Linked DNA regions of Mytilus edulis. The protein of the gene in region 1 purifies or fractionates together with the protein of each later gene. This does not show direct contact. Links are inferred from orthologs where the notes say so. Each region holds a gene or a part of one and is shown in the gene's direction. Other genes may lie near its edges. The genes, in order: glycine--tRNA ligase-like; isoleucine--tRNA ligase, cytoplasmic-like.

Region 1 (8,222 bases):
TTTATAAATATTGCCCCAAAAGATAGCCTGTCAACATCTCAATCATACAAATTTGATAGTAACAAGATTTATGAGGAGGTAGCAGCAAAAGTACCTCAAGATACTTGGTTTTACATCCCCTTGATAACAGTTGCAGAAGTTAAGGACTGCCTTAGCAATTTAAATGTTGCAAAAGCTACAGGCATTGATCAGATAAGTCCTCGCATACTTAAATTATCATCAGAAGTTATTTCACCGTCAATAGCTTATATTATAAATAGGAGTATCACTGCTGGTATATTTCCTTCTGAGCTTAAAAATGCCCGTGTCATGCCAAGCCATAAAAAGGGTCCTAAAGATACTGTCGACAACTATAGACCAATATCTATTTTGCCTACTATGTCAAAGATTTTTGAAAAGCATGTCTGCAAACACCTATACCGATACCTATTAAAATATAAGCTCCTTCATGCAAGTCAGTCTGGATTTAGAAGCCACCACTCTTGTCATACTGCTTTACTAAAACTTATTGATCAGTGGTTGAAAGCAATTGATGATGGAGAAATTATAGGTATTATCTTCCTAGATTTTAAAAAAGCATTTGATCTGGTAGATCACGTTATCCTTCTTCAAAAACTGCAGTGCTACAAAATTTCAAATTTATCATGTAACTGGTTTAAATCATATCTATCTCATAGATTCCAACAAGTGGAAAATGGGACAATTAAGTCAAGGGCACTAGAAATAAAAACTGGAGTACCTCAGGGCTCCATATTAGGCCCCCTTTTATTTTTATTGTTCATTAATGATTTGCCCCTTCATATAACCTCATCTCAAGCAGACCTCTATGCAGATGATACTACCATTCACTGCACAGGTCGTAGTCTCAATACCATCCAGGACAGCATTACAAATGATTTAGAAAGAATTGAAGAATGGTGCAAGGGAAATAAGATGTATATAAATCCAACAAAAACTACATCTATGGTTATTGGTTCTAGACAGAAACTAGCAAAAACAGACCATGTTCTGAATTTGAGTGTTGGTAACTCACACATTAGAGATGTTAATAATAATTGTGAAAAGCTCCTTGGGGTTTTTATTGATGAAAATCTTGAGTGGACAGCCCAAATTGACACTTTGTGCACAAAAATCAGTACAAGGCTAAATCTTTTGTCTAGGATAAAGAAATCCCTACCCCTTGAAACAAGAAAGTTATACTTTAATGGTTATATTCTCCCTATTTTGGATTACTGTTGTACAATTTGGGGAAACACCAGTGACCAAAATACAAATAGATTAGATAAACTTCAAAAACGAGCAGCTAGAATTATTCTTGAACTTCCTTATGATACCCCATCTAATACAATGTTTAAAAAGTTATCATGGCTTCGATTTACTGATCGTGTGATTTACCACAAGGCCTTATATGTTCATAGATGTTTATATGGATCTGTTCCAGAATATTTGTCTAACAAAATCTCCTATGTTTCAAATAAAAATGGAATGCAACTTAGATCAAATACTACCCAATTACTTAATATACCAAAGGCAAGAACAAACACATTTAGAAGATCTTTTTCATATTCTGGCCCAACTTTATGGAATAAACTACCAGAAGCACTAAGACACATGTCAAACATAAATACTTTTAAAACAAACTGCTTTAAGTTTTTACTTGAAAATCCAGGAAATATTTAAATGACTATGTATCAACTTTGATTTATGTTTTCTAATGTTTTTCTTTGTTATGAAGAAATTGTGTGAATTGCATTGTGAGTGGAGTGTGAGGGCCTCAAGGGAGAATAGTGTTTGTACTAATTGAGCATACCCTCTTGAAATAAAGATTATTATTATTATTATTATTATTATTATATGTACTAAACAATACTTGTAATACTGATAAATAATACTGATAAATAATAAATATTATTATTCAACAATCAAATGGTGTTTAACTTGAATAGTTTTACGTATTAATGGTTTTGATGTTCTTAAAGATACTACTCAAGATTAGGAGTGTCAAAGGCGAAACATATAGTTCAATGGTTTCACTTTTTTAAAGTATTTAACTGCACACCTACTCTTATTACTGTCATTATACTTTGAACCAATTTTGTTAGGGTGAAAATCTTTAAAAATTGGGATGTGTTTTAAACCAGTGAAACTTAAACAAAATCAAGACATAAATTTCATACAGCTATACAACTTGACCCAAATTGATACATCAAAAGCAAAGTTTGCTAACTGTAACTTAAATACTAAGAACTTCTGTATGTACACGTAACTGTGGAGGACGCAATTTTGTTCATCAAAAATGTGTTGGACTTTAAAAACCACTTACTAGATTTGTAGAAATTGTCATTGTAAATTAAAAATTACAGTAAATAAATTGTATGTAATAAATGCATGTATTGCAAATATAAAATAAATTTCTTCATTTTTTATTATTTAGTACATATTACTAGTCCCATCGTACATTGCTGTTTTTCATGTAACAATAACCCTATGTAACCGTAGCCTCAATAATTATTGTTACATTCGTAATTAAACAGATCCTTACCAAACCATGCATTCCGGCATTTAGTCTTCAAAGTAACAATAATATTTTTATTATTGTTACATTTCCATGTAACCGTAGCCAGTGCCAAAAAAATATGCACCAAAATTTATTTTTCTTCTTCTTCTTTAGGTTTTCAGTAGTCCTTCAATGATTTGAAGATTATTTACTGTTTGCGCGCGCAGCGTGGCCTATATATATATTTACAAAGACAAAGACAAAAAGTATATGGAAATAAATTTGAGGTGCGTAATTTAACTTTTTTAAAAAGGTGATTAAAACTATGTACATAGGCTAATAATGAGTTAAATGAATTTGTGGAGAACAGCTGGTGTGAGCTGTTCTCTAAAAGTGTCGACTGTGGCGACAGCGACTGTTTGCATTGGCAATAAGTTCCACTGAGTTATGGTATATGGAAAAAATAAATATTTATATGTATCTTTTTTGGTTGAAAAGTGTCTAAAAGTATAATTATGGTTTTTGCGGGTTTTACTGTCTGATGGTATGAGAATAGCAGATGGTATAGCGACGATTTGATGTATTATTTTGTAGAACATTATTAATCTTGTGCGTGTTCTTCTTTCCTGTAGAGTTGGCCAGTTTAGGGTGTTTATCATATCTGTCAGGCTACTGATGTTATGGTATCTGTTACAGACATATCTGGCAGCTCGCCTTTGGACCATCTCGATTTTGGAGGTTTGTTCAACTGTGTGAGGTTCCCACACTGAACATGAATATTCCAGTTTTGGACGAACTAGTGCCAGATATGCCTGAGTTTTGATGTTCTGACATGAGGTTTTTAAGTTTCTTTTTAAGAAGCCCAGAGATTTGTTGCCATTAGCTATGATGTTGTCTGTATGTTTTGACCATTTTAGGTTTGCTTGAAGTGTAATGCCCAGATATTTAGCCGAAGAGACAAGTTCCAGTTTGTGATTGTGGAGGATATAGTCATGTTTAAATGGGTTTTTCTTCTGTGAGACTGTAAGAACTGTGCATTTGTCTGGATGGAAAGCCATCAACCAGTCTTGCTCCCACCTAGCAGCTGCTTCTAAATCTAACTGGAGTGCATTACAGTCACTTTGAGATTTGATGGTTTTGTAGATGATACTGTCGTCGGTATACATGTAGGTATTCTGGTAGGTCGTTGATATATATACCAAGAATAATACTGGGCCCAGGACTGTGCCTTGAGGGACACCTGAGCTGACTGGAGCCAGGTCAGATGACTCTCCATCCAGGTCAACTGTTTGTGTTCTGTCATTTAAAAAAGGCAGCGACCCAGTGGAGTGTTTCTTTTTGAATACCATAATATTTAAGTTTGTATAGAAGTCTTTTATGAGGGACTTTGTCAAATCCTTTGGCAAAGTACATTATAATTAAGTCTATTTGTGTGTTATTGTTGTTATTTGCTGCAAGCTCTTGAATGAATGAAATGAGTTGAGTTTCACATGATCGTGACTGACGGTCACCAAAATTTATTTTTAATGTCATTTTGCATGAATTTCTACTGTTATTTAAATATGTCATGGAGGTACCCCCATCACTAGTCCAAGATTACTCTGACGTCCAAAGGCTGTTCGACCCTAGCTTGTCTGGCAAAAACAGTAGTTGGACGTCAGAGTAATCTTGGACTACCCCATCACCCCCTCTTACAACATTTGTACAAGGGCTGCTTACTTCACATGCACTTTTGTTTGGGAGTTAAGCGCATCACCAAGTATGTTCCCTTTATCATCAACCACAGCTGCACCTGTGTCATCACAACTTGTTTCAATCCCTAAGACTAATCTTGGATGTGTTCCAACCTTCCTAAGCCTAAGGGAAATAACTCGAAAACTGGCATCAAGTATTTTGTTTTTCTTCGCTTGTCCTATTATATTTCGGATGTATGTAAGTCTACTGAAAGTTAACATTGTATGGAATTAATTTGATATTAATTATCTAATATTGTCTAAATCTATTTTCATCCTTCATAAATAATTTCATGCCTGGTTTCATGGGCGCAGACATCTTGGAAATCAGAACTTGAGACCCGTGAGGGGAAAAACAAAATACTAAGAAGTTCATGAAAACTGACAAAGACTAAGTTGAAAACTTTAAACACGGTTTCAATATTGTCCATGGATACAAAGTCTTGCTTTTATTTTATGATTATGATTTTTGCTTCAAAAAAGATGTTCGATGAATTTCACATTTCCTTTGAACCTCACTGTTGAACTTCCGGTTCCGTGGCAAATTGCATCATGACAAAATCTCTATGAAACAACTATTTTCTTGTGTCTTTAAGATAAGCAGGAGGTTAAGTGGCTCCATTTTAGAAGATTTAAATAAACGCACCATACATCTTAGCGTTCCGTGCATTTGTAAATCTAAAAATCAGAAGAAGCTATTTGGAAAAAAGTTGCAGCATATGGTACAGATGATGGCATTGACAGATCCAGAAATCGAGAAAATTTTGCAGCCTTTTAGACAACAAGTAAAAGAACAGGTGACAAATTATCCTTCTCTCATCACTGGTTTCTTTTGCTTTTTTCAAATTTCTTAGCATGGACTTGTTTACATTTTACAAAATATGTTGAAAATTTAGGTTCTCAATTTAATATGTTGACACAGCTATACTGATAAATTGGTATTTATACTCAGTTATTAAAATGGAATTATTGCTGCAAGTTTGAAAATCATTATCGGTCTCACTAATTAGCGACAAGAAGAATAATTCTAGAGACAAGAAGCGACAAATGCAATAAACTATTTAGGGACTAGAAAACATTTTTTTTTATTAAAGTTACTTATTCCAAATAAATATTAAAAGAATATGCAAAAGGAAACTATTTTAGCGACAAGAAAGGTAATATTGATAGAAAAAAATTGAAAGGCCCTCAAAAATGACAGAAATTTTCATAAGTGGGGGCCCACTGACTGCCTAAGAGGGGTTTGACGACTTACAGAAAAGAGCGACGATTTACAGAAAAGAACCGAAAAGGACCAAAAAGAACCGAAAAGAACCGAAAAGGAAATAGATTTTTTTTGTAATCGAAGGATTAGCATATTGCAAAGCATTGAAAACCTTATACTGTGGTAGGACTAATTTTAACTTGCATGTGAAACATTACAGGTAAATGTAGGGTCGGATGCCTATCTTATAGAATAGAAAAATCGGAAGAAAAATTTTAATTCACCAATTAAGGACTCCCTGTATATTTAACATTTAACATCCGAGAGGAAATGATGATGCTGACATGTATACTTTTTATACAACCATACCCAATGCCACCGGCAATATACTGACATCGTGCATCTTAATATAAACAAACGAAATAATTGTTTAAATGTTAGGATAAACTTTTATAGTACGAGAATATTAGCTTTTCATTTATTTTTACTACGTATTTATAATATTAAAAACATGTAATATCATCGGCTTATCAAAATGTTTAAACCCGCTGCATTTATATTTATTTGCCCCTGTCCTAAGTCAGGAACCTAATGTTCAGTGCATAATTGTCGTTTGTTGGTGTGGTTTGTGTTTCATAAGTGTTTCTTGTTTCTCGTTTTTATGCAGTTAAGCTGCATTATGCGAGCGCCCTAGATTTGTGTTCTACCCATTAAATGCTGAAAAACTTGCCATTGTTATTATCTAGCTCGCTACTATGTTATATATAACTAATTGAACACTTTTTTAATACTTTTTATTCTGGATTACAAAAAATATGACCAGAAAAACCTTAAATGATCGTCGATTTATCCAAAAGTTTTGAAGTTACACATAGGAAGTAGTGCTTATTAAGAATCCTTGTGTAGTTCATTATGACTTGTGCTTTTGGCTAAGATGTCAAAGAACAATTGTATGAAATATTTAATCGCCGAAAATCTCTTAAGACAAGTAGTTTAGATTTCCCAAATGGCAAAAGTCGTAGGGATATTGTTTGTCATCAATACGTAGTACAATTACGTCAGTAGTCTATTATATAATAAGTTCAACTGTTCATGCTGTTGGCGGCAATTTCAAATTAGAAAAAGAAATTTTCGTAGCTTTTCAATTTGGAGGCAGGTGTGCAAATTAGCGGTGGTCCGAGGTCCGCGACCTTCCACTTTTGCAAGCGGAATTTCGACTAGGATAGTGGGTTTCTAGCTACGCCCGACGTAGTCACCTTCCACTTGAAAGAAAATAAGAAATTACTTTGCAAACCTTCCATGCAAGTCACCAAAGTCTCCAATTAAACGAGCTAAAAACTTATTTTTATCATTATTATTCATGACAGCGATGTTCACTTTGTTCAACTGCTAGCTTTATACAGATATTCGCCGACAAATATTGTATAAATTCGAGTAAAATCGTATCTGATTGACAAAAACAACATTGTAAACACAACAATGGCGGCCGTGAAGACAAAATTTTACAATATCGGATCCGATTCCGGAAGCGGATAAGGATAATTCCGGGTTTAGCGATCATTTACAAAATAAATCAAAGCAGGTGAAAAAATAAATCTATGCATGGTAAATGAATATAAACACTAGAATTGTAAACCAAAAGATATATGTAAAAGAAAGAAAAAGCAGAAAAATATTTTATACAGAAACTCAAAATTACTTTTTGACAAATTTTAATTTAAAAATCCAATACAACGTGACAGCTGGGAACAGTATATCTAACAATATACATGTTCATGGTCACAGTCTATATTTTCTTTATCAGTGATAAATGATGATAATGCATGTGAGATGCTTTTAAAGTGTAAATATAGTACTGCAATTTTGAAGCGTTATTTGTTTTATTCAATTTTGAAGGGTCAATTAAAGTAGCTAAAAGTTTCTTTATTTTCACAAATAATGCAACAATATTATATATACCTAAATGTAAGTGAATCATATGATATATAGGAGGCATTCTTTGGGCCACTCTACCCCTCCTGTTTGATAACTTGGAAACGGTCGAGTTCCCCACCCCTAAACCATATGAGGGGCAGATCCAGCATTTTAGGTAAGGAGGGGCACAAACTTAAATTTTCGCCGAGCAGAGCAGGAACATATATATTAAAATTATATATTAGATATACTGTTCCCAGAGCAGAGCGAGGCTAAAAAAAATTTGAGGTAAAATTATCGGAATATTCATTATTAAGCTGAGAACAACCCATGCTTTGCAAATTTAAGGGGGATGCAAGCTCGCATCCCCCCCCCCCTCCTGAATCCGCCCCTGCATATATTCAAGTATAGGACAATATAATAAATAAAATGAAATATAGGGGAAGTCCCTGGAGTTACCCCACCCCCTCCTGTTTGAGAACTTGAAAACGGTCGAGATCCACACCCCTTAACCATATATATTCATGTTTGTGACAATATGAAAAATCAAATGAAATATAGGAAGAGTCGCTGGGGGTCACCCACCCTTCCTGTTTTAGAATTTAAAAATGATTCAGATCCCCACCCCTAAACCATATATATTCATGTATGGGACAATATAACAAATCAGATGAAATATAGGGGGAGTCCCTTGGGTCACCCCATCCCTCCTGTTTGAGAATTTGAAACCTGTTGAGATCGCCACCCTTTAACCATATATTCATGTACGGGACAACATAACAATTCAATTGAAAGATAGGGGAGTCCCTGAGGTCACTGTTCACCCTTCTGTTTGAGAACTTGGAAATGGTCAAGATCCTTACCCCTAAACCAT
Region 2 (8,312 bases), on another chromosome or scaffold:
AAAAGACAATCACTGAATTACAGGCACCTGACTTGTGACAGGCACACTCAGCAGGCACATACTCAATTCTTTTTAAAAACATCTTTAATTTCTTATTCATATTCATTTTACTTATCTTTAGTAATATATGCTTTCATGTGAAAATAAAACACTAACCACAAATACTCTACTATTGCCTTGTATTAGGACTATTTTAAAATTTTAGAAAAAAGGGGGGATCTTCTGTATGTAAATTCAAAAGTCAATAGACAGTTTTCTACTGACTGATAACAATCTTTTTATTTTTATCAGTATTTTTGCAATCCTAAGAAGAGTCATAGTCCACAGCTGGTCATTTCTGGTCAGTCTTCTACAATATTGTGGTAATTAGACAATATCCTGCTGTGAAGACAAACAAGTGTGTTTGAATAAATGATGTATCAATTTTCTGTTAATTGGTAAATTTTCTGGCTATTTAGTTTTGACCTAAAATCTGGCATTAGTTAATAATGTTATAGGACAAACCCTAAATTTCATCATAAAGTTAAGGATATATCAAATTGCACAATTTATTTGTGTTGATTAATCCTTATATATGAAAAATACAGATTTTAATATATATTAACTTGGTTGAAATTTTCATCTTTTTAATAACATCACAAGTGTCTGAAGCTAATATTATATGTCAAAATTAATTTTGATGTGTTAACAAAGGTCATTAACTTAAAAGGCATCAAATATTTATCAAACCAAGGAAGTATATATATACTACTATATTCAAGTCAAATGTTGTTGTTAAAATCTATTTTTTCACTTTTTTGGTCTGTTGGAAAATGTAGTTTGTGCTGTATTTAGACCCCTCTACAACCAAATTTGTTACTTGCACCATGGAAGTAATATTGCACACATATAAAAATTAGAGTTTTTATATCAATAATTATAACATCTTGGATGTCAATGAAAGGCGTAAAAGAAAAAAATACAATAGCCTTTCAAGACGTCATAGTTATTGTACTAATATACACAGGTAAACCTACAAAAATGTAGTTTTTAATCAGGAATATGTTAGGGCTAAGCTTTTAGATACGTTTCTCTTGGTTACGACTGCATATTGTATATAAACATGTATTGCTGAGTAAATCCTGGATTTTTTTGCATATTTAGACAGAAACATAAATTCAAGACTAAAAAAATAAACACTGATGTCTTCCATAGGCATTAGTTCTAACCTTTACACTCATATTTCCAGACATATTGACAACATCATGAAAAAAAATTCCAGTATCTTCTTAGCAGTAAAATGATTTTAAATTCTAGAATTCCAGAAAATTTTAGCAATGGTGAAAACATTTCAATGGAACTTTTATTTCACAAATGATGTCTCTCATAAGGCTTATTTCTGGAATAGCATTGTTTTCTCAATAACAATACAATCACTAATCTGTCATTAATCAATCACTAATCCATCAGTAATCGGTCTTAAATCGATCAGTAATCTTATCGATCACTAATCGATCAAACTCTTGAGAGAGTTTGATTGATTACTGATCGATGACTTCAAGTCATCAATCGAGTATTGATCGAATATGATTGATTAGTGTTCGATTACCGATCTGATCGATTAGTTAAGTCTGGTAATAATGAAACTTATACCATAGGTTTGTATCAGCAATGTCTTAAATGAGTTCGAAAATCAGTGAGGATCAATAATTGTTCAAAATGTTATTGCTCTTGGAAAAATAAATTATATGGAGCATTGCATTATGTTTGCTCACTCATATGTACAATTCTTGCCAGAATTTTATGAAACTTAAATCATAGGTATATATAACAAGTCTAACAATTTCTTGGATGAATTTGATCAATAAATTTTTCGAGTTATGCCCCTTCGAAATATTAATCATATCAAAAATTGCCTTTTTAGTGCTCTTATGTGTACAATTCATGTCAGATTTTATCCTAAAGATTTATTTTATCAATGTTCTTGAAGAGTTCAAGAAGTTATAAAAATCAATAGAATTTTCTAAAACAAATACATGTAACCATATATATTGTGGCGGAGAGCCAGTTTTTAAGACAACATTACTTCCCTTGAAAATGGACTGTTGTGAAATTAACATTTAGATATTACTGTTGATATAAGTTATTGATGAAAATGATTGTTTTACATGTCATAATATTTATTTACTTTATTGTGCTTTAATTTGTTGAAGATATTCACAGATTTTGATAAATTTGCAACTGATCATTTACTTATAGAGCTTTTCTATTTATCTTGCTCTTGTAAAATTAGTTCCGAGATTAATATTTGTTAAATTGCTTAATCATTTAGAGAGCCAAAGTCTATTAAAGAGACTATTTTTACGGTAAGTGCTTTTATGAAAGAAAAGATACGCAACACTGCTTGTCGACACTAGTCACTCTGCAGTATAGCTTTACATATAGAAAGCTTGATGGTCTTGCACAGACCTTACCACTAACTGTAAGATGACATTGTTATATATAGAACAAAATGTCTATCTTCAGTCTTGCTGGTCTTGCACAGACCTCGCCATATTTTGTCACTTTTATGTGAGTTTTAACTTATTTACATTTGAATACTTTTATCTTTATAATATTGTTGAGATTTGCTTAATTGTAATTCATTATAATAAACTATGAAAACTTGCTATTATTAAGTTCTACAAAGCCACATACGAAGGATCAGAGACTCAGGATTCCGATACCTACTCTTTACACGGTCTGGGGTAAAATATGTAAAAGTTGACACAGAAATACTCAACGTAAAAATCCCTCCGGTTACATTTTGGTGGCAGCGGTGGGATCCTGAGGCGAAACATCTGATCTTCTCATAGGCTACAGCACTATTTATACAATCAAATATGTAAGTTAAAATTGTGAAATTTAAATCTTTTACAATGTATTTCATTTTGTTTAACGTAAGTGAGTAGAAATTACTTCTCACATAACAGAGTTCATTAAAGAAACACTGTTCACTGATGTTTTATGTTTACATGTTTATTTTTATTTGAAAAGACATTGTCATGCTTTATCATATGTATGAAATAATGATGAGTAACAATTTCAGTTTTAGCTTACAGAAACTGATAATTATATAGAATGGCAGAGATAAAGTATGTATTGATAATTATAGGGTGTATATCTTGCATAGATGATGAAGTTTTAAATGGTTTAAATGGGAGTAAAGCTTAAATTAGATTGTTTAGTTAGAATGGTATATTTTAATCATATTATCTTAATACATTCAGTTATTATACATAGCTCAAGATGAATGTGTATGAATCGACAGGAACAACATTGTTGTATCCTTTTGGTCCATTTAAAGGACCGTCGCTTACATCATTTTATTTTATGCTAACTTGCTTCAAGATTATTATGTTTATGTGGATATAAGCTAGGCTGCGAACATGATTGTTTCGGCACGATTGACGTGTTTTAAAACGCCAATATGAGCCTCTGACTCACGTTTATATCGCTAGGGCCTGTTAAAAAGAGCTGGTCGCGGCATGATTGTTTTATTCTATAGTAAATGTCTCTTAAACTCATACAAAATATCTACTTCTTAGACAGTTACACAATTTCTATAGCATTTGACACAACAGTTTACTGGGTGACGATTCAGTGTAACTATTTGTTTAATTTTGTTGTTCAATTTTTCAGCACTTGTTTACAGTGAGGGTGATGATATGACATAATGTACGTGTGTTAGAACTAATATTGGAGATGACCTGATCAGCACTTCTAGTGTTAGAATGATGAAGGAATTCGATTGTGTTTCGTGTGCAATATAAAGAATACCGTGAAATAATATATGTGAAAGAATATCGCTGTGTTTAAATGGAGAATTTAGAACCATTCATACCTGCCTTGTTTTTAAACTTCATGGCTTCAGTTTTTAAGTTGGGAGGAATGTGGCGGAGAGCCAGTTTTTAAGACAACATTACTTCCCTTGAAAATGGACTTGTGAAATTAACATTTAGATATTACTGTTGATATAAGTTATTGATGAAAATGATTGTTTTACATGTCATAATATTTATTTACTTTATTGTGCTTTAATTTGTTGAAGATATTCACAGATTTTGATAAATTTGCAACTGATCATTTACTTATAGAGCTTTTCTATTTATCTTGCTCTTGTAAAATTAGTTCCGAGATTAATAATTGTTAAATTGCTTAATCATTTAGAGAGCCAAAGTCTATTAAAGAGACTATTTTTACGGTAAGTGCTTTTATGAAAGAAAAGATACGCAACACTGCTTGTCGACACTAGTCACTCTGCAGTATAGCTTTACATATAGAAAGCTTGATGGTCTTGCACAGACCTTACCCACTAACTGTAAGATGACATTGTTATATATAGAACAAAATGTCTATCTTCAGTCTTGCTGGTCTTGCACAGACCTCGCCATATTTTGTCACTTTTATGTGAGTTTTAACTTATTTACATTTGAATACTTTTATCTTTATAATATTGTTGAGATTTGCTTAATTGTAATTTATTATAATAAACTATGAAAACTTGCTATTATTAAGTTCTACAAAGCCACATACGAAGGATCAGAGACTCAGGATTCCGATACCTACTCTTTACACGGTCTGGGGTAAAATATGTAAAAGTTGACACAGAAATACTCAACGTAAAAATCCCTCCGGTTACAATATCTAGCCCTCAAGGATTTGTAATACAGGCTCTTTTTCTGTGAAATTTGAGAAAGTTTTTTTTTTTTTTTTATTGTTTTTTGTATCAATACTTTTTTATGAAAATATATACGAATTTTGAATATCCGATTACCGTGTGTTGGGCCCAGGCTCGGATTTATACAGGAGGTTATTTAGCTGTTTCTTTCACTTCATTATTTCCGGTCAAGTCAACATGTGCTGATGCAACCGGCTGAAAAGTTATTTTTATCTGGTATTCAACAACAAAGTGCAAGTGAAAAGTTGTCAATTACTTAAATTGTTAATGAAAGTAAGTTTATTTTATTAACACGAAAAAGCTAAAAGTGAAAATAAAAAAAAAATCTAGCAGATTTTGGCGATTTATTATCTTTCAGTTTCTTTTTGGTCAATTTTCCTTAAGGTTCATCATAACCTTTTGGCTAAAATGGCCGTATTTAGTACTATTTACACCCCAAATTTTATTCTGAGTACAGACTAACCTATACACCTGCAACAGTTTTAAGGGATGGCAGGAACTAGATATATAAATTTTAAATGCATTTTGTGTTTCAGAAAATTATAAACTTTTCTAGATTTTGCTATCCATTTTTTTTCGTTCCTGCAGAAGGTGCAAAAATTAACTAAGTAGTGAAAACGATTGAGAAGCTCCCCTCATATAATCAATGTTGTGAGTAGAATTGATTTAAATGGACAATAGACACCTGTAAACAATAGGTGATTTAACAGGTTTAAACTGTGTAACTGAGTGGACTGTATCTCATGAAACTCAGGTGTTTGTTTATTTTGCTATCTTCTGCAGACTGGAAAAAACTGGACATCAAAATCCATGCAAGTTTTTAATTTTCTGAAATGTAGACTTCATATAACTTTTACTTGTCTAGTTCCTGCCATGCCTTAAAACTTTCCTAGATGTACCAGTTTGTCTGTACTCATAGTAAATTTTGAGGTGTAAACACGGCCATATTTTTCAATTCCTTATGATGAACTTAATGTTGACAAAATATATCAAGTTCATTTGATACTATCCATATGGCGGAAAGATCAATTCTTATTTTCAAATTGGTCTTACTTTCACCTTATTTATGCAGTAAAAGAAGCGTGAACGATACCCAAGGCCCGAAAAGGGTCATTCAAAATCATAGATTGAAAATAAACTGACAAAACCAGAGCTAAAAGACAAACAGACAAATAATAGTACATAAGACACAACATAAAAAACTAAAGACTAAGCAACAAAAACCCCACCAAAAACTGGGGGTGATCTCCGGTGCTCGGAAAGGGTAAGCAGATCCTGCTCCACATGTGGCACAAGTCATGCAGTCTGTACCGTTAGCCACTAGTCTGGTGCCCCAGACTAGTAAATATTGATTTGAACTAGTGAACATTTTCAAAATTCTATGAAGTCAAAGGGACAAGTTTTGATAATATGAGGCAGGCATTACCTGTGAATGGGGGCGAAGTCTGTATGATTTTATTTTTTTTAATTCAAACATGTTGATAATAGAAACAGAAACCGTAACGTTTCAGATTTTGGTTCTGTTGTTAAAGAGTTAGTTGTGACATTATTTAAATTATGACGTCATATTCAATGTAAACAAAGAAACGCTTTCATCAGGTAACGTTTTTTCATATCAAACAATTATTAGAATTGAATTGGTATTGAGTTCCAATCCTATATTTTACTAGACTGATAATTTTTTTTTTTTCAAAGTCTCATGCAAACAAGACTGGAAAAGGAAGTAGATTTCTGTGCAAATGCGTGAATTTAAAAAAGTCTGAAAAAAAAGTTAATGATTTTGAGTTCATTAGTACATGTATATCAGAACAGTCTATTATTTGAACTTGGAATTATTTTCAACTATGAAATTTGCTTGATTTCTTGTTATTGAAATTTTTAATAAATTCCATAATTATTCTGTACTGAAATGTTCTGTGCTGCGCACAACACTTTCTATTACAGAGAAAATAGTATATTTTCAATAGAATGTACTGTGCCGCGCACAACACTATCTAACCAAAATACATGGTATGGAAAGTGTTATTAACTGCTCAAAAGATCATAATACAAAATAAACATGGAATTTATAAAAAAATTTAAACACAAGAAATTATACGAATTCCATAATTAAAAATAATTCCAAGTTCAAATAATAGCCTGTTATTGAAAAATTAGGGAAATTTTCACGATTTAAATTTTTTTATTTTTTTTATTGATTTTTGTACCTTAATAGGGGTCTTCGTCCCCATATTAAGTGTCCATACAAGTAGATTAAAATGTTTTTTGTCACAGACTGGTCATGTTGCTCATGTTATTAATAACCCTGTAAAAAGTCTACTTCAGTATGTCACATTCATATCTGATAACATCTGTAAAACGAATATTCCATTACGGTCAACTAACTGATGGCGTCCATAAAATTTAGGAAGGGATGATTTCGAAAATCCCCATTTGGAACTCTTGTTTAATAGCTTCCTTGTGAGCAGCAACCCTCTAACAAAGAAATCCTGATAGGAAGGTATTAGTAACTGAAGAAGGCTAGTTTGCTTCTCCCCATGTTTTTTCCTTAAATTCTTTATTGCTAATGGTGTTTGGTCACTTCTGAATTATGTAAAACAGAAAATGCTTTAATTTTTCTAGCACTAGAGTTAATGGCTCAACAAGTTCCTGAGAAGATTTCATTTCCTCAGGAAGAGGAGAAAGTTCAGGCTTTCTGGAAAGAAATTGATGCATTCAAAACATCACTGAAGCAGTCAAAGGGGAAACCAAAGTAAGTGTTTTAGTATCCAGACTTTTTGCCATTGCAGTATTAACATAACAACATACTATCATCTGTTTGGTGTAATGTCTGGGATATACATTCAAGTTTTTATATAAAAAAAAATATTATAAAAATACCAAACTCCAAGGCAATTCAAAAAGAAAAGTCCCTAAAAACTAGCAAAATAAAACACTATCAATCAACAGAACAAGTGAAAAACAAATACCATATTCTTGACTTTGTACAGGTAGTTCTAAAGAAATTTGTGGGTTAAACTTGGTTTTAATATTGATCTTTCACTAGCTAAAGCCTACATCTAAAACCATTTTAGTGAATTAAAATACACCTTCAACAGGAATGCATTTTTTAGATCATCTTTGAAAGATTATAAAATGTGATCATCTTATTTTTTTAACAGGTATACTTTTTATGATGGACCCCCTTTTGCCACAGGTTTGCCTCATTATGGCCATATTCTAGCAGGTACCATTAAAGATGTAATGACAAGATGGGCCCATCAGAGTGGATATCATGTAGAGAGAAGGTTTGGATGGGATTGCCATGGTCTCCCTGTTGTAAGTAATGCAGGATATTGATCGTATGATAGTTTTAGACACCCCTTTAATTTAGTACTAGTAGGAAAGGTAGATTTTTTTCACTCCAAGGTCAACAGGATCAAACCATAATACATATTATTCTGCTTAAGAAGATGTGTAGGCATGTGACTCAATAGTTAGTATAATGTTGATTAAAAAGAGCAGGGTGCTTTTTCTCTGAGAAAGCACTTACAAAATCAACACAATTCAAGTTTGGTTGGTAGCTTCTGAATTTGTGATAACTGCAGTCAAATAAAAAATGTAATGGTCTTTT

What was found.
Region 2: the proteins of glycine--tRNA ligase-like (region 1) and isoleucine--tRNA ligase, cytoplasmic-like fractionate together in Homo sapiens (co-fractionation; 3 studies listed by BioGRID). This does not show direct contact. The link is inferred for Mytilus edulis from reciprocal best matches to the Homo sapiens genes GARS1 and IARS1.

The regions. Positions count from the first base shown.
Region 1 is NC_092345.1:85,539,402-85,547,623, forward strand, and holds the start of glycine--tRNA ligase-like, read left to right. Parts: upstream 1-4,755; 5' UTR 4,756-4,796; coding exon 4,797-5,027; intron 5,028-8,222. Other genes in the region: tRNA N6-adenosine threonylcarbamoyltransferase, mitochondrial-like, read right to left, coding at 4,217-4,452. UniProt on the Homo sapiens protein: Catalyzes the ATP-dependent ligation of glycine to the 3'-end of its cognate tRNA, via the formation of an aminoacyl-adenylate intermediate (Gly-AMP).
Region 2 is NC_092344.1:112,851,590-112,859,901, reverse strand, and holds the start of isoleucine--tRNA ligase, cytoplasmic-like, read left to right. Parts: upstream 1-4,838; 5' UTR 4,839-4,972; intron 4,973-7,321; 5' UTR 7,322-7,332; coding exon 7,333-7,451; intron 7,452-7,860; coding exon 7,861-8,017; intron 8,018-8,312. UniProt on the Homo sapiens protein: Catalyzes the specific attachment of an amino acid to its cognate tRNA in a 2 step reaction: the amino acid (AA) is first activated by ATP to form AA-AMP and then transferred to the acceptor end of the tRNA.